3 linked regions of the Styela clava genome follow. The protein of the gene in region 2 binds, or shares a complex with, the protein of the main gene of each other region. Links are inferred from orthologs where the notes say so. Each region holds a gene or a part of one and is shown on either strand. Other genes may lie near its edges. The genes, in order: integrin beta-1-B-like, fermitin family homolog 2-like and paxillin-like.

The links.
Region 1: the proteins of fermitin family homolog 2-like (region 2) and integrin beta-1-B-like are in contact, whole or in part, in a crystal structure (PDB 8TEE), measured with the Mus musculus proteins. The link is inferred for Styela clava from reciprocal best matches to the Homo sapiens genes FERMT2 and ITGB1. Residues at the interface, in NP_666166.2 of Mus musculus: Phe609, Ser610, Asn611, Met612, Lys613, Gln614, Trp615, Asn616, Val617, Asn618, Trp619, Glu620, Ala629, Asp630, His647, Ile654, Ser657, Thr658, Lys674, Leu675, Ser677, Gly678; in NP_034708.1 of Mus musculus: Ala786, Val787, Thr788, Thr789, Val790, Val791, Asn792, Pro793, Tyr795, Glu796, Gly797.
Region 3: the proteins of fermitin family homolog 2-like (region 2) and paxillin-like are in contact, whole or in part, in an NMR structure (PDB 6U4N), measured with the Homo sapiens proteins. The link is inferred for Styela clava from reciprocal best matches to the Homo sapiens genes FERMT2 and PXN. Residues at the interface, in NP_006823.1 of Homo sapiens: Gly42, Gly43, Met45, Leu46, Glu50, Lys55, Lys56, Trp58, Ser59, Leu73, Thr75; in NP_001074324.1 of Homo sapiens: Ala562, Phe563, Cys564, Leu565, Gln576, Lys579, Tyr581, Lys588, Leu589, Phe590.

The regions. Positions count from the first base shown.
Region 1 is NC_135261.1:8,767,990-8,775,048, forward strand, and holds the start of integrin beta-1-B-like, read left to right. Parts: upstream 1-3,954; 5' UTR 3,955-4,045; coding exon 4,046-4,103; intron 4,104-4,453; coding exon 4,454-4,536; intron 4,537-5,455; coding exon 5,456-5,573; intron 5,574-6,220; coding exon 6,221-6,310; intron 6,311-6,985; coding exon 6,986-7,059.
Region 2 is NC_135255.1:24,188,714-24,196,283, reverse strand, and holds the start of fermitin family homolog 2-like, read right to left. Parts: upstream 3,066-7,570; 5' UTR 2,992-3,065; coding exon 2,896-2,991; intron 2,492-2,895; coding exon 2,389-2,491; intron 1,878-2,388; coding exon 1,744-1,877; intron 1,377-1,743; coding exon 1,277-1,376; intron 857-1,276; coding exon 689-856; intron 1-688. UniProt on the Homo sapiens protein: Scaffolding protein that enhances integrin activation mediated by TLN1 and/or TLN2, but activates integrins only weakly by itself. Binds to membranes enriched in phosphoinositides.
Region 3 is NC_135252.1:7,085,507-7,093,170, forward strand, and holds the start of paxillin-like, read right to left. Parts: upstream 3,057-7,664; 5' UTR 2,775-3,056; coding exon 2,762-2,774; intron 1-2,761. UniProt on the Homo sapiens protein: Cytoskeletal protein involved in actin-membrane attachment at sites of cell adhesion to the extracellular matrix (focal adhesion). Recruits other proteins such as TRIM15 to focal adhesion.

The sequences.
Region 1 (7,059 bases), on a different chromosome or scaffold from region 2:
CTTTTAAAAAAATTGTAAAATTTATGTACTTATAGAGTATATCGCTCTTAGCTGTTTATCGACGTAATGAGAGAAGCGATAAAACCTTCCAGCCGTGACGCAAAGTGCGAATCCTATAAATATCCTGGATTTCAAAATCACCTGTCAGACGTCTGAAAAATGTGACTCCCTTCAGACAGGAAATACTCCTTTATAACGACTTATTATTGTTTTAGCATGTATTTTCAGTCATACTAACTATCCCTGACCATCCCTGGCGCTGTGTTGTTTTGATAAATATGATTTCGAATGCTCCATAGTTGGCAGAGGTATGGAGATTTTTTGTATGTAAAAAAAACGTAAAATTAATGGTAATTTTAACGCGTAAATGCGCGTATGAGATTGGTTACGCCGTTCTACGCGCATTTCCGTCGAAAAAATTTAATTTTTTTGCATTGGGGGTGGTCTGTGCAGTAATAATAAGAGCTGTGACGTCATCAGTATCGGTAATTTGACCTTGAACTTGACAATACTGTAAATACAATTGTGAATTTCAGAGTGATAACCATTTATGCTATAATAGTCGTTTTGGTATTGTTATGTTAGGAAAAACTTGACGAAAACGTTGAAGAAAAAATTAATTAATTAGGAATTAATTATTAACCCTCTACTGTACACAGAATATCTCAAAGTCCAATTTTTTTTTTAGAAATTTTTGAAATTTTTTTGCAAAAATTTTTTTCGAGGGGTGTGTTTTAAAGATATATTGCTGAATAGAACTCTAGCAGACGCTTTTAAAAACCCATGAATAAAGCTTTAGGGATTAATGGTTGACATAAAAAAATAAGTTTAAAAATACCCATAAAATGGGCAGGGCTTGAGGCTTAAAAAGGGTTAACTGATTAAGATTCGGTGATGCGCATCACTATTTCTCGTTTGAAGACCAACATTTCAAATTTGGTCCACCAAAAACGTTTTCGAAAAAGTAGTTTTTTTCAGGGCGTTGAACGGTTTCAGTAAATAATTATTTGTTTGCGTTTTACAGAAGTGCATTTCACCGTAACTTCAATAATGTTAAAAAGCGTCAGTTCCTAAATGTTTCAAGTAGCATTTCATCAAAACTTCAATACTGTTAAAAAGCGTCAGTCGTTAAATATTTAAATTGCATTTCACCGTAACTTCAATATTGCTAAAACAAGTCAGTCGGTATATACTGTCAGATTTAGGTACACGAATGTTCCATGCTATATGTTAATTACGTAAAACGGTTGACTGTGAATATAATGAAATAATTACCAGCAATCCATAAAGAAGGAGGGCGGGATGGAAATGCCTTCCCGGTGGTTGTCCACCATTAAATCAAATCATCTAACAGAAGTAATTTTGTTTATTTATTTTTTTATTGCAAAATAATTTTAAATCTTCTAACCGATAGGTGGTGGTGGTTTTATTGCGCTAGACCAGTGGTTCCCAAACTGGGGTCCGTAAAGCACTTTCGGAGGGTCCGCGAAACAAATCCATAATATGGCTAATAGGCTGATAATACAAAAATTAAGTGTCTAAATTTGCAAATACACATTTGTCGCCTTTTGCTGTTTTGCAATCACCGCTGGAGACACTGATTCCTCACCTTTTGTTTCGATCACGCTGCCCCATTTTGATATCACAGCGAGAGTTCGGTTCATGCCCCCACAAGCTTACTGACTGCATGGCTGTAGCTGACGCCGCCCTTTTGCTGGACTGGATGTCACACATGTCATTGGAGTTGTGCTTTATATAATTTTATTCGTTTCACTATACGGCGCATTGATTTTCTGTTGTGATCTTTTAATGTTTTATTTTAGCGCACAAGGCCGGATATCATTAAAAAAAATTCAAGGGGTCAGTCATGGAATTTTTTTCAAAAAGTTCGGGAACCACTGCGCTAGACTTACCAGCTTTGATGGCATCGCAATTCGCAAGTTACACATCTCGGGTTAGAATCCTATCGCTCATCGTAGGCAATGACAATGGAAAGTTCCAGTCCTCCCAAATTGAAGTGTTTATTTATCAATCATCATTTTTTTGTCAAGACAATATAAATATATCCCGGTAACGAACTCTTGCGCAACCCGGTGTCCGTTTACTACTGCGTTCCACTCCACTATAAGCAACCATATTTATTGGACACGAAATGTACATAAATATATATATGAACCATTTGGTTATTATGTTGTTGTTCTTGTTGGTATTTTTCTTATTGTTTTTATGGAAAACCCGCTTTTCTCATCAACTATTGGACCAATTGCTTTGAAATTTTCAGTGATTAAAGATTGTATTTCGAAGACCCCTTTCCTTTGATGCCCTTAGCACGTGCCTATTTCGATTAATGGTTAATCTAGCCTTGAGTGTAGCTGTGTGACTCCCAGCATAAAGAAACAAAAAAGTATAGGACTCGGTGACAAATTAAGATGTTTGGGAAGTACTCCTTACTATTGGCATATTTTTAAATCTAAAATAACCATCAATGTAAACCACCTGCTAGAGGCGCTGTGTAATGTTAAGAAACATGTTATATATATATTGAAGAGTGGAATAAAAAATACTACATCCATAAAATACTCAAATATTATTTATGATAAAAATGTTATCAATTGGGAACTTATTTAAAGAACTTATTTAAATTCATTTTTTCAAGTGTAATATTATTTATGCGATAAAACGTAGAATGTTATAAAAAATCAATCAATCATCATTTATTTATCAACACACTATAAGCATAAACATTACAAATATCAAAAGAGAAATAACTTAAATTGTGCGACAGCAGTCGTGCAAAATCTGAAAAGTGAATAAAACATAAATATCACACACGTTCACCTACCAAAAACAAAACAAGCACAAAACCTAAGGAAATCTATATACTGTATACATATTTGAGATCGAAATCAGATACCCCCGAAAATAAAATAGCTGACAGATGGTACCGAACCGCAAAGTGGCGTTAGATACTCAAAATTTTCGGGATTATGGTTTTGGGAGAAAATACTTTCCCTGGGCGAGGTTTATCTGTATTTGGTATCGACTGTGGTTGGAAAAAGTGAGTAATGTCTGCTTGTAATTCACCAGTCAGTCAGTATATGTTTTGTTGATTTTCTCCTTTGCGTTTGTCGATTCAGAGTCGGCTGATACTAAGTACAAGTTATGGTGAAGCGAAGGGTTCAATAACTGAAAAGAACCCTTGTTTCAATAGCCGAAAAGCAAAGTCAATGTCAGCTTGTCTGTTTGTCGTAACGGTATCTCATACATTCAGACATTGGAATGCAGATTTCTGATATTTTTAGGTTGGAGCTACCGTGTTTCCCCGAAAATAATACTTACGGTACCCTGGAAATAAGACCTAGTTAGCATGAATTTTTAAAATGATTTTAATAGTCAATAAAGCAAAATTATTTTTAACCAGCAAGAAATCTTTCATACTCGTTTTAAAGGATTAATAATCTATGTTTAGCAGTTATTTTAAATAAAAACTTGTTATTTATTTGTAAATGGATATCGTTTTTCATATTTTGTATATTTGAAAATTTAGTAATTCTCTAAATGAAAATAGGAGACATTCCCCCAAAGTAAGCCCTAGTGTTATTTTTCGAAAGAAAATTGAAATAATAAACTGTCTTATTTTCGGGGAAAGACTGTAAAATAACTGTTTTAGCCTAGATGTTAATGATTATATTAATCAGTTTCTAAGATCTGTAGTTACTAAGTTAAGAACTCTTGTGAAAGTCATTTTTGACTTTGGTGTCCAAAGTAGTCTGGTAGTCTAAAAAAGCACCCACATCTTCAGATTTTAGTTTAACTATTTAAGCAAGCAGTCTGTTTTGATCATATTGATGTTTGAATTCTGTAATGTGGTGAACATAATGGTTAACGTTAACATTTTTTATATTTATACATACTGTTTTTTATTTTGAGTTTAGATTTTGCATATAATTTCATTCTATATTCAAATTTTGACAGATTTCTACATACTGTGTTTTTTTATATTATTTTATAAATAGAAAATCATAAAAATTCATTACTAGCGAAGATGCGTCTTCTCTTTTCTTTTTGTCTTCTGCTTGTTTTATTATTTGAGTATGGAAATGGTAAGTGTTTAAATTAGCATATTACTGTTTTAGCGCCTAGTTTATACAGTTGTTATGTGAGTGGAGGTCATATGAATGCTTACTATATATTTTATCATTCTGTCAATCAAGATATTTATAGTATTAATGACCACAATCAATAAACAGACATCTAAATATATTTGTTTAGGGAAACTGGACTTTATTTTTGACTCAGATGCTTGTTAATGATATTTGCATTTCTCACTTTACATTATTTTTTATCCAAATAGTATTTAAAATAGTATGACTTTTATTTTGCATATCTGAGTTTTAATTACATTCATTCAGTACATTCATTTAAAAATAATACAGTTCTTCTATATTTCAAGGTGACAACCCATGTGTAGATAAGAATGCAAAATCATGCAGTGAGTGCATGCAAGTTGCTGGATGTGGATGGTGTGAACAACCTGTAAGTCTTGAATAATAACAATTAAAAAACTTCCATTCAATAAGTATGTAGATTTTGAGTCAAACAATAACTTTGATGATAATGTTACCTAATTTCCAATTTCATCTTTCATCGAAATTGTCTCGTAGATATTGAATAAAAAAGAACAGTTCAATTCAGGAAGTAGCCTACAGAAGTACTTGAAATGGAAATTACTTCCTGGATTATCTAATGTGACTCAGTATTGTATTGATGGAACTAAAATGTTTGTAAACAATATCATAAAACGTTGAGAATGAAATATGGTAGAACATAGCTCATAATATGATCATATCATATGGAAAACCCCAACCTGTTCATTTAATTACCAGTTTTCAGTTTGGTAATGGTATGCTAGTGCTAGTCTGATATATTAGTTTGTGACCTATCCTACACATAAAGCATAGATTTAAACCAGGGGTTCCCAAACTTTATTAGTCGCGGGCCAAAGTTAGAATCGGAGGGATGTTCGCGGGCCGGAAGAGTGTGGCGCCCAGAAGTGCGCGACGGTTTAGCTGGGGTTCACCACGGCTGTTATGTATCCAAAAATGTCTGTTTTCGGAGTCTAGTTTTCCTTTGTGTCTTGACATCTCTTTCTTATATGGTTCGTAACTAAATTACTGCCCTATGTAATCCCAATACGAATAATTGAGCTACCGCTATAATGTAATTGTTACGATAATCAGGTGCCTCAACTGTGATAATGGTGTAACACTTGGCGCTATCTGGAACGCAAAATAGCAGAAACAAAATCTTTTGCACACTATTTCACTTGAGCTCGGCGGGCCTTTTTTGATCGTTAAGCGGGCCGGTTTTGGCCCCCGGGCCGCGGTTTGGGAACCCCTGATTTAAACTTATAACGATTCTTTGGATTTTCTATTTATTTTTTGTTATATTCCAGGAATATGCAAACAACCCCAATCTTGTTATATCGAGATGCGATTTACCAAAAAATTTAAAGGCTGGAAAATGTCCTGATGAATTCATATTGAATCCACCATCGTCTGTGAACAATACAGGTGGGTTATTTATTATATTAAATCTAGTAAAACCACACTTAGATTATTCTGTCATTCTTTTTATAAGCGATTTAGTTTGTGGATCATTTTCGAAGCTTCAAGGCCGCGGATGTACAAAATTGGTCGAGTATGTTCGAAATTCATTATTCTGCTCCCCAGTGATTTGGTCATCATGGCCTAAAAGACCTTCATTTGTTTTTTGTAAACTCTCAAAAAAAGCTTATCGATCAAATTACAGGTGCAACAACACAAATTATCAAATTTTATCTTAATTAAATTCCATGCTTTTCCAAAAAAAACTAATTGAATATACATGACCTCTATATGTTCTTTGTTGAGGATGGCCCAATTTAGAATAGATTCAATATTCTTCGATGGTTGAAAAGAATATTTTAGTATCGAGATGTATTTTTTGATGTAGCCAACCTTGCTGAAAAGGTTATAGAATTTTAATATGTGAGACACCACCTAAATGCGAGTTATGTCAGAGTGCCAAGCGATGAAGCATGTATAAAGAAGAGTATTCGAATAAAAAAGATTATTGCTACGTCATGATAGCTTTTTTGTTCTGGGAGGACGTGCAGATGTCTTTGTTTGCCTTGTTTTTGTAAATATTTTTCTCAACATATTTTCATTTTACATTAAAGTTGATGACCCACATTCATCAGTTGGAAGCTCAGATGTTGGGAAGGCAACACAACTCAAACCACAAAAGATTGATGCCAAATTGAGGCCAGGTAGTTATTTTGACAATTCTTCAATTTTTTCAGCATTTTTACGAGTTTATATGTTCCAAAGCTCTGCGATACAAGTTGTTATTTTCCTTGCAGAGTCTAGCTGATGCATGCATATAATGAATTTTTGTATCATTATGACCATAAAATTCACAGTTACCACTATATTATTTATCAAATGTTGCCTGCAAAGCTACAATATATTATTATACTCATGTATTTATGAAAGTTATTTGTATGGTGATTATATATCCCATACAAACATATCTCAATAGTTTACTACAGAATTTTTATGGCCAAATATTTTTATGTATGCCTTCATATATTTCCACCTCTCATTCAAGTCTCATTCAATATTTTGTTACATTGTTTTGCCGTAAACTGCGCGTCTTCGAAAGTCTGACTTTGATAAGATGAAATGTTACAGAATAACTTTATTAAAATGTAATACAAGGCATTGCACCACTAATATATAAACATTAGATGATTTTCAATTCTCCTGACATTTTGGACATTCAAACTGAATCATGAACTGAAGTTTAGATATCATTAACGGACTAGCAGGCACTATTAGTGAAAGCAAATGTATATAAATTGTGTTTTATATTCTGGTACCTTCTGGAAGAAAAACCCTTAACTGTTCGAAATTTTTCACCAAAAATGCAATTTTTCCAACAGGATCTCCTGCTCAAATCCAAATATCTTACAAACAAGCTGAAGATTATCCAGTGGATTTGTATTATCTTCTCGAT
Region 2 (7,570 bases):
AGAGATCCATTATCGCCAAAAGGAGATATTTGTCAAAAAAGTTCATTGATTACAATTCACAGGTTGAAAGTGAGGTTGTAGTCTCAGACTCTCTGAAAACAAAATTTCTCAATCTAACGACAATTATAGTACGGTAATTGAAATTTTTGAAAATAACCCCAAAAATATTAAGTTGAATGAGCGTTCCTGTCAAACTGTCAAAAAAAGCTTGCGCTTGCCCAAAAGTTTTATTACCGAAATTTTCCCGGAAAATAGACCAACTTTTTTTTTCAATTTGGGTCAAGATAGGGAGAACTTTCTCCAGATTGAACATCCATAGGCACAATAGTGGTTGCATGTCCAAAGCCTTAGAGCAGTGGCTCCCAACCTTCTAATATCTTGGCCCCCTTTCGCAGGCTTTTAGCACTTATGGCCCCCTGTTAATCATTCCAGTGCTATTTTGATGGGCAGATTCCAATTTCCATTATGTTAAAAAAAAATTATGCACAACAAAGAAAAAAAACCTTGTGAAATAATTTCATCAAGAAATTAAACTAGGAAGAACTGGGAGGATTTTTTGAAAGGGTAAAGTATAATCAGTTCTGTGCTTAACCTTGTGGCCCCCTCCAACTGCTCTGTGGCCCTCGAAGGGCCATGGGCATCGGGTTAGAAACCACTAACTTAGAATAAAGAACGCAAATGAACTGACCTGGGGTGTAAGGAGATGTCGGAGTCATGCTTGGATTGAGAACGTTTGGAGCGATGAGTCCTTCATCGTAAGAACTTCCGTTTGCGTGAGATCTCTGTGGAGAATTTTTGTGGCCGTCTCTTTTCTCTTGGACGCGAAGTAAAGATAATTCCTCAGGTCGACGAATATCTGAAGCAAATTAGCAGGGATATGACAAATGAACCTAATATACTGTTCAGATCAGTTTTATTAATATAACCAATGTCTATTGTCTACATAAGATAACAATAAAATCAGGTAGAGTTCCCCACCATGGGACAGCAAGTAAATGATAGGGCATGTATGCATAACAAAGTAACAGATCGTAGTTTATCAACCTTATTAACAATTTTTCAACCGATGATAACAATAATTAATCTTACTATGCTCCCTAGCCAGCAGTGGCTGCTCTTAAACAGCCTTTTTAAGTGAGAAAAAATAAGATGTCGTGTAAAAGACGTTAGTTTGAAAAATTGGTCATTAGCTATAAAGTAAAAGATGGTAAATATCAAATTATCCACATATCACCCTGTGGGCAGGTTTCTCAGAGACAGTCAAAGTCCAACTCACCAAAAAATCTACAAATTTCTTTCACCGCTGTGAAAACTTTTGATGAAAAATCAACTCTAATATTTGCGTATTGCAGATCGCATAGTTGGATTCGAAGTGTCTGTAAACAAAGGCAATGTGAGAGTTTTCATATTCAGGGAAAGGGGAAGGAGGGGAAAGCTTAATCATGTGACCATCCATTGTCTATGGTCCGGTTACCAGTCCATGTCGAATATGGGGATAGTTAACCATATCGTGTATACCACAGCCTCTGGTTCACTTACCAGTCCATACCGGGTATGAGAATACATCACTCTGGCAGAAAAAATAAGCTTCGATAAAACAAATCGAGGAATTCACCTCAAACATTGGCGAAAAGAAAACGGGATGGCGGAGATTTGAATTTTTGCTGAATAATACTAGTAATACTGAAGGGAATACAAAGCAAAAATTCTCAATGGTTGGGAAACCTTGCTGTAATGACTAACCTTATGTCTCATAGTGAACCATAATTCAGCATCAGCCTGAACTTCTTCTCTCACCAAGGCATGATTGCTGTTCATCAGCCATTTATTTTTCTTTGGCCACCACATCTCATAACCTGACCAATCCTGAGTCACATCTTAAAAAAAGTCAATTATATTTATTGAGTTTTTACGCAAAAGCAAAGTCTGCGCCCTGCGCTCAGCATCAACTTTTATGTGTGTTGCCAGTTGTTTGATTATAATAAAATTGTAGGCTCGTTAAATTAATAGCCGTTAACAATAAATTATGTTGTGTGAAGAATATAATATACTCCTTGAGCGTAGATTAAAATTAATTAATCCTCGAAACCGCCATTTTGTCGCTACAATTCAATGGAGCTTAGTGGGTCGGATTATTTCACAACTCGGGCTAAATCTGGCCGTGGGTTGATGACCCTGTTCTAAGAGTTGGAACTAGGATGCAATATAGGCCATAATCCCGTGGAAGGAGTAATAAGTTAAAGTTAGGCAATGTGAAACTGGAGTCACACCCAATTATGGTAATGGTAGCAGTCTGCTTCTGCAGAGCCTTGTTCAGAGCAAAAAACATATTGACATGTCATATAAAAAGCAGTAAAAGGATCTATTTTTAATTGTACATCAACTCACCAAATTTTAATTTCAAAGCTTCCACTAATCTAGAGATTGCGAATCCCACAGAATCCTCACTGCGTACAAGAACTGGTACAAGATGTTCTGAAACTGTTTCACCCTGAAAACAAAACCAGACGAAATCAGCACATGTGAAAGAAAAAATAGATGGGTACCATGCAGTACTAGTCCATAATGCGCTACAGCCAAAGGTACTTTTACATTCTGAGATAGTTATCTAAATCTTCTCACACCTCCCAGATTTTGCTATTTGCTATCAAAAAGCATTTCAGCATAATTTCACAAAGCAGTTTGAAAAACAAGGACTACAGATTCATCTTCATGATTTTTTGAATTATTAATTTCCACGCCTCTCAAATAAATCAGGTCGTAATAAGTTGGTGATGCAAAGCTGTATACTCCAGCCCAAACTTTATTAGCTCATGTTAGTGGACGCTTCAACAGGGCCTTGTTCAGAAAGAGAATGTAATGTCTCTAATAATACTGTCATGCTTGATTGCCTACCCGATCATTTTTAATTGGCAAGTCCGTTACTCTAATATTCAACTCCCAGGATCCGTCAGCGTACGTCCCATCAGCAGTTCGGAAACCACTAGCCATTGTGATTCAATAATCCGTGTGACAGAAAACACTTATAAGAAATTCATGATAGTGAAAAATTACGTTACATATATAACACTGTGAATGAATAACAATTGAAGTATTGATTGATAAGATTGTAATTAGGAAAGCATCACTGATACGCTTTACTTAGAAATATAGGCTATGCAACACTTTTTGTTTGTCACCCTAAGCATCGTTCAGTTGTACTAGGACAGGGGTGGGCAACCCCTGGCACGCGTTCTGAACTTATCATGCGAGCCCCTTTATTCGGCACGTGAGCGAGGCTTCAGAAACGAAATCCATTTTCTTCAGATAAAAAGTTTCAAGACTCTGAATTATCTGTTGAAACTCTGCGTCGGTTTAATCATTATCGTTTGTTAACAATCCGTTATTTATTTAAATAATTTTTTTCCATTCATGACATATGGCTCCAAAGAAATATATTAAGACATCACAACTGAGTGAGCTCTCGACAATTTTGGTCGGCACGCAGAAGAATTTTGTCATTAAATTTAGTCGATTTTGGCACGCGAGCCGGAAAAGGTTGCCCACCCCTGTACTAGGATGTATTAATGCCTTGCTAACCCCATGTCTGATAAACTTAAATTTGAATAAACTACTGACTAACTACTCAATGATTTCCACTAGTAGCAGAGTTAAGATTGTACTAACAAACACAAAAATGAACTATTCGAACACACTATTTCTTGTAAATCAGTGATTCTCAAACATTTTAAAATTTGTCAAATTTCACGTCATCTCAAAAATAACTAGATAAAAATAAGCTACCAATAACAGATAGTGCGGCGAATGTGTGTTTTATTCAAAAAAACACATTAAATATCGAAAATAAGTCCGGCAAAATCAAATCTGACAAAATATCATATTTTTAATTAGCTTCACGATCCCGCCCCTTCGAAAAATTGTCTAAGCACCACTGTTTGAGAACCACTGTCCTAAATGGTAAGTTATTCTACTTTCGATTACTGAAGTATATTATGCACTTTCAGAATTACTAGTGTAGCGTCCTAATATTCACATGATTTTGTCACAATAAAATAGATTCATCTATTTGCATCATAGCTGTTTTCCTGTTCGTATCGATATGAACTGCTTCAAATATCATTTTAACAATTCTATAATTCCTCATAACTAGGTTTATCATATATATAAAACCAAATATGGAGTGAGGATTGGACAAACCCTTGGTTCGATTCCTAGGAATACTAACATTCAAATCATAAGAAAATGTGCACTTTTTTTTCAAAAAATTATGTTTTATTAATATCAGATATGAAAAAATATTCATGATTGTGCGTAACCGGGACATTTAAGTCTACCGGACAGATGCCAGGAGCTTGTCAAAATCGGGACTTTCTCGGCCTAACTGGGACAATATGTATGGTAGGCCTACTCATGGTCTCTGTGGCTTTTGTATTTTAATAGGCTCCGTAACTTGCTCAAAGATCAATCAACATGATTTCGGGAAGAGTGCGAAAGAACTCATTTCTATTCATATTATATAGCAATAAAACTTCTAAATTTAGAATTTCAGGTAAAAGCAGAGTTTTCAGTAACTCGCGAAGTGAAATTTTCCCAAACACAGTTAATTTTGAATTTCAAACTCATTTCTCAAGATTTGCCCTGTGAATAAAACATGACCTCGAGCATTGTCAGTTTGATTCATAAAAGTTTCATCGAAGAGAAACTTGATTCGTTCAAGTTGAATTATTCATGGACAAAAATATTGAATTCCAATATCAATCTAAAACGCAATTCTATAATGTTTTTTATAACAGAAGTTTTTGCGTTTGAAAAGTTTTTTTGCCCTCAGCATCAATCGAATAGAATGAAATTCATAAACCAAGAATGAAAGACAAGGAATGAATTTTATTCACTGAAAAAGACAATGAGTCAGTGTTAGTTGTTCAATGGGGCAGAACCAAAAAAATTTGACAACTATGACCAGTGTTGCAAATGTGATGAAGATGAAACATCTTCCACAAATGTAAGTGCTTTCAGACATCAATAAGATTTTCAAAACAAAATCTTAACTTTGGAAAATGCTCATAAGTTTACAAAATGAATTTTTAAAATATATTCTACTGTCACCGACACAACTTGCCAACACATCAAGCAAGCAATGTGGTATTATCCCTCCCACATCCAGTTAAAAATCTATTTGAATACGTCATCTTTCTTTACAGACTCATGTTTAGCCTGGTTGCAAAAAACACCCAGCATGAATTATAATGTTATTATATCAGACATAGCTAACCTAGGCTAATAGAATCTGCACAATATATTTAGTTGTCAATGATGCTAAAAGTGTAAGCATAGATTCGGGACCAAATACTGAAATAAAAAGGAAGCCAGGTAACAATGTCAGAAATTTAGACTGCCAAGCACATCATTCAACTTCGTTAATTGCCAGAGCTAGCCATAACAATAGTCAATTCAGTTTGTGTTGTGTATTTTACTAGTTTTATTTGTCTAGTCTATTGTCCTATTACAGTATTATAACGCAGCAGTCCTAAACTGCTGTTACACTTGTTAGGATTACATGTCGCACATCTGTGTCCTACAGTTTTGGCCGGTAAGGTCTTGAAAATGCATCCTGTCTCCAGGTCTCTGTTTTACTGTTTAATTATTATGCAGATAGATACTGTTACATTTTTGAGATTATAGGCTAGACATTCAGTACCGGTAGGTTTTATTATAACAACCAATCAATTGTATAGTTATAAACTGTAACACACAGACTACGGTACTCAAGTCAAGGTAAACTTCAAATGACATCTCAACAAACAAGAAATTGTTCACAAAACTAAACCCAGAAACCATCATTACTGCATTATGCTGTTATGCAAAGGCCAGTCAAACCTGCCATCTTGATATTTGACAAACATTTATCACCGAAGCCTAACCTTAGATTGTCAATAAACCCCTAACACCACTGTTCTGTAAATAAAGACTCAATTCTCAACAAAACGTTTATTTGACATGAAAACGTTTCTCACAAGCGGCTTTTCAAACACATTCTTTCAACATTCGTGTCAAATTAGCCGAGCAAAAGGAAAGGCTAAATCGACAATGACCATATTTGGGCACTATATGACGCACCCTCTGACGTCAATATTACAGGCCGCCTTTTCTCAATATTTGGTCTCACGACGCCTCCTGTGGAATGTTCTGGTAGGACGTAATAGAAACCTCGACTTACCGTATTTAACGCACCATAATAATCTGACTATAAGGCGCATCGTCGATAAATCGCATAGATTGGCGTTTTGTCTATACACAAGGCGCACCAGGTCATAAAACGCAGCAATTTTCATTGTATGGGTTTCCGTATAAAGCTCATGGACCTTTCCCCGAGCATCGACTTCCTTGTTTACTTCGTGACATTGGCCAATCAACAAGATGCAAAAAGTGACGTAACAATGCTTCCTTTTCGCATCCGCTCAGACTCCGCTCCATATACTCAAAAATACATATCCATGTTAAATTTGACCAATACCACACTTGATCAAGTGTGCAACATGTCTGAAATTCTATTTAACTTTAAACGCCTATTGTGTATACGCAAATATTTTAGTAATTTTTCTTTCTTTCCATGGAAATTTAATGTTGTTTTTGGACACACCTAAACATATCTGAAGCATTTTTTATTCATGTTTATTGATTTTAATGTTGGGTGGTAACAGACTCCGATGACCGCATGGTCGTATCGTTGCCACCCAGTCTACACCGAGAATTGTTTCGCTTATTATTAATCATGTTTTTGTTGTGTATATGTTTTCTGGTGGACAAAACAAATAAACTCTCTCTCTCTCAATGATCACTCTGTCTTCCTAGGAGTTTTAATTTAATTGCAGTACTAATAAATTAGTGTAGAAATAGCTGTGATAGACTAGGCTAAAATTCTTTACCGGTACTTTTAAAAATCAGATTGTTTTATGCGATGAGTCATAATCCGTAATCTGTATCGCGTAATATCAATATGAGCAAAGCCCATCCATGGAATTAAAGAAGTTAATGGATAAAAGATTGGATTCAAAGTTAAATGGTGGACGATCAGTTGCGGGTATATTGCGAGCTTTCGATCTTTTTATGAATCTAGACGTGGATGATGGAACAGAGCGTAGAAAAGATGGGACGATTGCACGTTCACCTGTTGGAATGGCTGAATGGTGGTCGTTCGTGGAAATTCGATATTGATGTTGGAAGCATTGGAACGGATACAATGATTTTAAATTGAACTAACCGAAAACGACAAAAGAACCCAACACCGTAATCCATGATTTGTGCATAGACTGCGATGGAACATTCAAAATTTGTCACTGTGTTACTTTTGCAACGTAATTGAACTAGGCCTACAGCATCACCATTTTTCGGCAGCGAGTGTTCTTTAATCCATATATCTGTAGGAAAAGCACATACACGTCTCATATTTTAATTTATAGGATTTTGCCCGATGTCACATCGTGTTTTTGTTTTATTGTGTTTTGACTGTTTTTTGGGGACGGGCACGTACTTGTACGTATTAAACTTTATTATTAAGTTATGCCCGTCC
Region 3 (7,664 bases), on a different chromosome or scaffold from region 2:
TTCAAATTCGCGTCAATTCAAAATAGGGACAAAACATTTGCAAAAACAAAATAATCCCATACGTTCTGAGTTATATTGCGGTCATATCAATATTGTTTTGCAAAATAACTTGGCTGTCGCATGGGTAGACACAGCGGTTTTAACCAAAGATGTGAACTTTCGATTGCCCTGGTTTTATTAAAAATGTAACTATAGGCTATATATAGCCTACATGTATTTTGCCGGGTCCGCGACAGGATCTTAGTTAATTAGAGAAATATCAAATTTCATATCAATTATCAATCAATAACAAATTTTTGTTGGTAATTAATAGGTCCTTCCGAATAACAGGAGATGATATGTAGTGGGTCGAGACTCGTATTCATATTCAGAATTATGGATAATTTCAAAAAAACTTGGGCCAACTACGTAAATAAGTGGAATTCATATTTAGATTCCCTTTTTAAAAAAGATTTTTCATTTTATTTATTTTTCATTCACTAGTTTATGAATTGGACAATACTAGTAATTTACGTTAGAAAAAGGGGTATTCAAAAGACTATAAGGGAAGGATGAAAATAGGAAGTATCTAATACTATCTATCCATTGAGAGAATTGAGAGTTTAGTATTTATTATTGATAATGGGGGTAGTCTCCCAAAAAAACAGTACACAGGGGTGCAGACTGGCCATTCGAAATGGGGGTTTTAAAAATAACAATACCAAGTTGTGGTAATTCCCTTGCAGCGAATTTTGAGACAATCACAGCAATTACAACAATAGTAAAAAAAGGTAACGTTTTCAGCTGATATTGATCCTTTTTGCTTTGGAAAATATATGATCCACAGCCGTAAATAAGGAATAACCCATAAAATGAAATTCTATAACATTTGCATTCAACCTAAACAACGACTACGTTAAATAATAAAGCTTTTTACCTCAACTAGAATCTTAATCAAGGAATACAATTCATTTAAGTAAAATAGAAAAGTGATTGAATAAATCTTCCAATAAATAGTTCCCATTTTGTCAGGATCTGGATTATTCTGGAATAAATTGGTGGTGGTAATTTTAATAGGGTAATATGAAACCGACAATATATGAAAATGCACATTGCACGTGGTGTAAGTGTTTCTTATTTCCTGTGCAGTACATAAAATCTTTGCGATTTATAGTATCTAAACTAGCGTGCTTAAAACAACTTTTTTCACTTTCTCAAAACTCCTAAAACAAAATTTATGATCCTCTTCTGTTTTATTTTTAGTGTTCAATGTGCATGATATTGTTATCATTCGTAAATGAGCGTAACACGTAGCTCGTCGTTACAAAGTTCCAAATTTGGGACTGGTTAATACCGAGATGTGGGTTCCATCCTATAATCGCAGCCCTGGCTGCACCACTGTAGGTAAACTACATTTATAGTAGTTCACTTATTGTTAGATTGAATGAAGGCCAGTTTTATTATAAATGTTCATCACTTGCATTTCAGTATGTTTTTTACAATAATTATTGACTTGACAGGTTCACCGTCAAACAGGTCAAACTTTCCTTCATAGTTTATAAAAGCAATCAGTTTGATCACTGCTTATTTCTCACACACAAGTGATAGCAGACAAGAAGAGAATATAATTTTTGTGAAATATTGTTCAAAACAACAAGACTCTTTGAATATAATAAGTTGACAATAATAATTGAAAATGATATTCGAATCAAGACTCAACTTTCTCTGCAGTACTCGGTACATAATGAATCAGTTTCAAAACACATGAGGTTAACTATTCAAAACAAGTTTTAGGAATAAATACAAATCTAAATTATAAGTTACTGGTACCTAATTAACCACCTAATTAATTATCTTGTTATCTTCATTTAAACATATATATAAGAGTATGGGTGGGCAACAAGAGCAGACGCCACTATGCAGTCTATTCTTTATTAGTACACAATGACGTTTAGGAAACTATGCCTTATAGACTTGAACTAACAACTAAAACATTTTCTGGTAATTCATACTGGTGCTTTCGAACACGAATTGCATAAAATCGCCTCAATTCTAATATAAGTGCTACACTCGTAAAGCTCAAAACTACACAATACCAACCAAGGATTTTTAAGACTTGTGTCAAAGATGCAAAAGCTGATTGACACAGACATTGATTAAGTATATATGACCGCAGTCTTCTGTTGCATAATAAAAATCTATTTTTGAGCCATTCATTAAAATAGGTCCGCACCCCTGTGCTAGGACATACCAAAAAGTCCCTTTCAATCTGTTTACTTGACCAAGAGAAGCAGGAAGCTACAAAATTGATAACTTCCTTTTTGATAAATTAATAATTTGACAAGTAATAACCCACATACCGAAAGCAATTAATAATTATGATAGCGGTAATGTTTACTCAACTTAATCCAAGTATGTTTGATAATATTAACTTTGTGACATATGGTCTTTGTGTTTCGAGCAGTATTAAAAATGTTAGTTTTTTACCTTTGCTATGGTCGAACTTGATAAATCTCAACTTTAGTTTTTTTAACTACTGTGAATGTAAAACTAATAAATAAATAAAAGGAATAAATATTCAAATTGCTACAGAATTATCCGAGTATACCACTCACACAAAATATATATAAAAATAATAAATAGAAAGTGTAATACATTGTCAGACTACAGCAGTGTAATATGTAACAGTGCACCCTTGTTCAGTTGTTATGTCCTCACGAGCATAGATTGCAGAAGACAAAAAGTATGACCAGTGCAAATTGAATGTATGAATTTCACTTACCTAAATCCTCCATCTCCCAACTTTTAAATGGTATAATTTTTCACAAATGTGAAACAGATTTTTGAATAACAAAAAACTTATTCAAAGAGCTAGTTCAAATCAATCCTCAGCTCCTCTAGTCAAAGTTATTGCAGTGCTGTTACCCCAAAAACAGGAAAGCAGACGATTCAAACAGATTTTCTGTTCCCGTTTTCATCTGTCGCTATATTCGAATGTTGCTTGATGATAAAATACCGTACTGAAATAAGTTGTTACTGTGTTTATGTGAGCACTCTCAGACTATGGCTTTCAAATTCTGAAAATAGGACACAAACTATTAGATAAACGAACAGCGTTAGCGAACTGGTACCGTCAATACGTCACTGTGTTAAAAGAATGAGTTCCGCAGTACCGGTACAGGAATAGCTCAGGAACAGGACACGGATAGTTCATATTATGACTGTATGACAATGCAGTAACTACCGTATATGCTGGACTGACTAATAAGGTTACATATCCTAAAAAAATTGTAGTTTGTGAGAATCGATCGAGTAGCACTTCAATTTCATAATTTGATAATTGAAAAACATTCAGAATTGTGTCAGATATAAAAATATGAATTAATTTATGGTAGCATTAGAACTAACGGTCAAGTTACCCTACATTCATATTTCAGTACAGTATGTACGCTTTTCTTTAATTCATACAGTAATATAAAACATAGATATGCAGATGCAGTTATACAAAAAAGTGAAACACAACAACTTATCTATCTACTTTTTTTGGGGGGGTGGCCAAATTAAAATCCATTGCCAATTTGGATTCATGAATATGATATTTTTGGTTATCGAAATACATGATTTCAAATTAGTTCAAAACTATCTACCTTTCCTGTTATCACAATTAATGTAATTATGTAAACTTGCCGTAGAACCGAAAATACGAACTCTTAGTAATAAAGAATTTGACATTCACCGCTGTCATCGACTACTAGAGTAGACACAATTTTGCAATATGCTCTATAGCGTCTCCACGTGATGACACAAATCACGATCCCGGATGAATCGAAATGTACCTAGGAGAGAGAGAGAGAATTTATTGTTTCTTCAAACCAGAAAACACATACAATATATATATATATCAGTGGCGGCGCGTCAATATGGCCAACCGGGGCAATGCCCCGGTTGTTTTTTCGGTATAATAAAAAATATTCGAAAAATACCTCAATATTGGTTGCACAGACTGTCTACAGTCTACACTAGCCATATTCTCCCGACATGGTTCATTTTTCGCTCGCAAAGCCTTCGCCGAACGTCGACGGGGCGACGCCGATTTTGCCCCGGTTGCTCATTATTCTCTCTTATCTTCCACTCGCCGCGTTTGTCTCGTTTGTTTTCTGTTTCTTTTACTAAATCATCGGGGCCGATCGGGGCTAGCCCCGAAATTATGACGACACAATGCCGACGTTTCTTACAACAACGTGTTGACATATTCACGCATTGAGGCGGCAGGGGTAAAGCTTCTGCTAGAAGATGGTGAGTTTTCATTTTTTCTCGCTTTTTTCTCCACAATATTCTATCACGTGGATGTATTATACGGCGCATTGCAGTAAAGGCTAATGGATGGAGCGTCTGTGCAGTCGTGTATTTCAGACTTCTGCGATGCTGTATCTCGTATCCGGGAAACAATAAAATACGACGACACATGGAGTGCTTCTTTACGCCGCGGGCAAACAACGCAGCGTTTGATTTTGTCTGCAAAGGAATGCTGTGACATTCTGGTGAATCAAATAGGCGATCGTCTGCGCACTGAACACCTTGCCGCGTTCTCTTTGATGAACCCCAAAAATTTTTCAAAATTTGCACGTCAATTTCCCATCCATTTGTTGGCTACTGTCTCCAAATTTTACCCCATGATAAACGTGGGTAAATTGGAAAATGAATTGCGATGTATATACACCAATCAAACTTTTTTGAACATCACATCAACTTGCGCGCTCTATGGGTTCCTCATAGATAACACTCTAGTAACTACCTTTGCGGCGTCTGCAAAATTTTTGGACATCATTTTGACGACGCCTATTTCTTCCGCCGACGCAGAGCGAACATTCAGCACGCTGAAGCATATTAAAACGTATCTCAGAAACACAATGAAGCAAGATAGATTAAATTCCTTGGCTGTTTTATCCATTCACAGAGACGTTATTTCTGCATGACTTTAATCAGCGCGTTATTGAGCATTTTGCTTCCAAGAAACCGCGGCGTGTTGCATATATGTTCAAGCAGTAGAAGTCTAGCAGCATATATATCTATGAGTGAGCGACGCATGTCCTTATCTTTGCATTAACTTTCCTTTCTTCATAGTAACGTTTTGAACCTTATTTTAGGTTTTGTCTGCTTTCGCGAAGTTTCTGTTAATATGTCATTGTATTTATCTGGGTAAACATTGCCTTTCCTTTTGAAAGAGGTTTCAAAATAAACTATGTCTATATTTTTTAATCCCTTGACTTTGACCGGTTTTAAAGACACTTTCTTATCGTTAAAAATTGTCGCTTTTGCCGATTGGTTGTTACCGATGGAATGGTTTTTATACTCATAAAATGATGGGCGAACTTACAGCGCTCATCTTGTCCCCGTAGATGGGGGTGACTTGGTCCCGCAGTAGCTTGCCCTGGTTGTCAAAATGACCACGCGCCGCCACTGTTATATATGATAGCAAAATGAGAAAAATTAGGTTTCGGTAGATGACTTGGTGGTGACGATACGACCATTAACAGTCATCTGAGTCGGTTACCAGCTAAAGCAAGCACATGAATAAATAAATTAATAACACAAGTCCATGCTTCCGAAAACAAATAACTGGCTAACTAATCCCATACCGACCTGGTAACCGGACGAGAGGCCGTGGTTCGCCATATGATTAAGACGTCTTATCGGCTTTCCTCTCCCTCGGGATAAATATGTAGATCCCGTAATATTACACTCTCAAGATATACATATGGAAAAAATATATACATACACTATGTAAAAAAATGATATCTGATTAGATATGAGATAAATATCTAATCGGGACTAGGAAGTTATTTAAATAAATTTTAAATAGAGAAGAGCAAAAAATAAGAATTCCATACCAAATATATTATTATTTAGTATATTAATTTACACTTTCAATATATTCTGAATCTTCTTTTGTGCTTACACACGATAAAATATAAGGGATAAGATCACAGGGAAATTGAAAGTTTTATAAGTGACAATAATGTGTCGTCTGAATGTGTAAGGATCGTTTCGAGAATTGCTCTACTGACGTACTTTGCTGTCAAATACATATAGGCGCGCATATTTATCTATCTTGGTGTTTGGTTCATTTGGTGAAAGGATTATTGTTATCAAACCAGGAAATGTCCGGTTTCAGTAAATCGTTTAGGAATAGAGCAAAATGGCGTTGGAAAGGAGGGCTATGAATTTATATCTCACTGCAAATGCCGCGAAATTCTGTTTGAACAAAATTGTTGATTTTTTGGGGAGTGGCGGTGGTATGGCCCCACAGGCCCCCGCACTGACTACGCCTATTGATACAGTACCAGTTATGTGATATTTTCAGTACAAGGATACAGTTGGCTTTGACGATCTCTCCGACAATAGTCTTGAAACGGTACATTATTTCTCGCGGAATTGGTGGAACTGTCTTCTTGACGAATATCACAGTGCGTAATGTAAGGATCGGGCATGATTAAAGTCCTGGACAAAAACGTTGTTGAAAATTACGGCCAATAAAGTAAGTAAAAGATGATAACATTTATATATATATGAAAATAGTTTAAGTAATTAAAAGATGATAACATTTATATATATTTATATATATATATATATGAAAATAATTTAAGAGAGAAAGAATTGAAGATCGATATGATGATGACTTTGACATGTGACTCACCCTCCTGATAATTCGGTATCCATAAAGAATGTAACTAAGTATGAAAACCATGATATAATAAACTATCATACAATCATATAATGTATCTGTAATTCTGGAGGCCTATAATAGATGGAAATCATTTGAAGAGGAGGAATTGAATAACGATATTGCAATGAATTTATCTGATTACAGCTCGCTCTATGACTCGGTACTTTTCATGGTTTCAAAATAGTTTGAAAGGGAATGCCACTCAGAGAGTGTTATATTAGTAACAGGGGGTTCGGCGGTGTGGCGTACAAAATAGCACAAAGTAGCCCAAGTACCTGAGTACAATTGCCGTAACCAAAATTTAAGAGACAAACACACGGTGGAGATGAACGCTAGGCACGGTGAAGTAAAAGGGAAATCGATCATGTCAAAAATTAATCACCCGCTAGTTATCCGGGGAATTCTATTAAAATTATACTATGGATCGAAACTAGAAAATGAGTCGAATTCCATGTGTCTCACGAACGCGAATTTTCGAAATTTTGACCCATTTTTCTGGGCAGTTTCTTTAAAAAAAATAACCGCTGATGAAGTTTCTTGCCACGAAGGAAATTAATGTCAGGAAACTAATAATGCATTTTCCAATGTTAGCTACGTTTCACGAAAAATATCTTGTTATTGTAGAATAATGAATTTTGAGAGCTTCCGTTGGTGTGAAAATCTGCAGAACATCACATTTCACAAATGAGTAAATTTAGTGATTCTACAATGAAATGGTTCTGCATTCCAATTAATTAGTCATCGGGGAGTAATCTAATTTTGACGAAAACAGAACGCCATTGTCCAAACTTATATATATTATAATATTAATTTAGATACATTTTTTAAGATATTTTCGTACATCAATGTTTGACATGAGACAAGAAGGTCAGCATAAGCTTTACCCGATAATTGCTCTGTGTCGAAAGAAATTAGTCAAACCGTAATTAATGGTCTGATGATATCCGTGCTTCTTTGT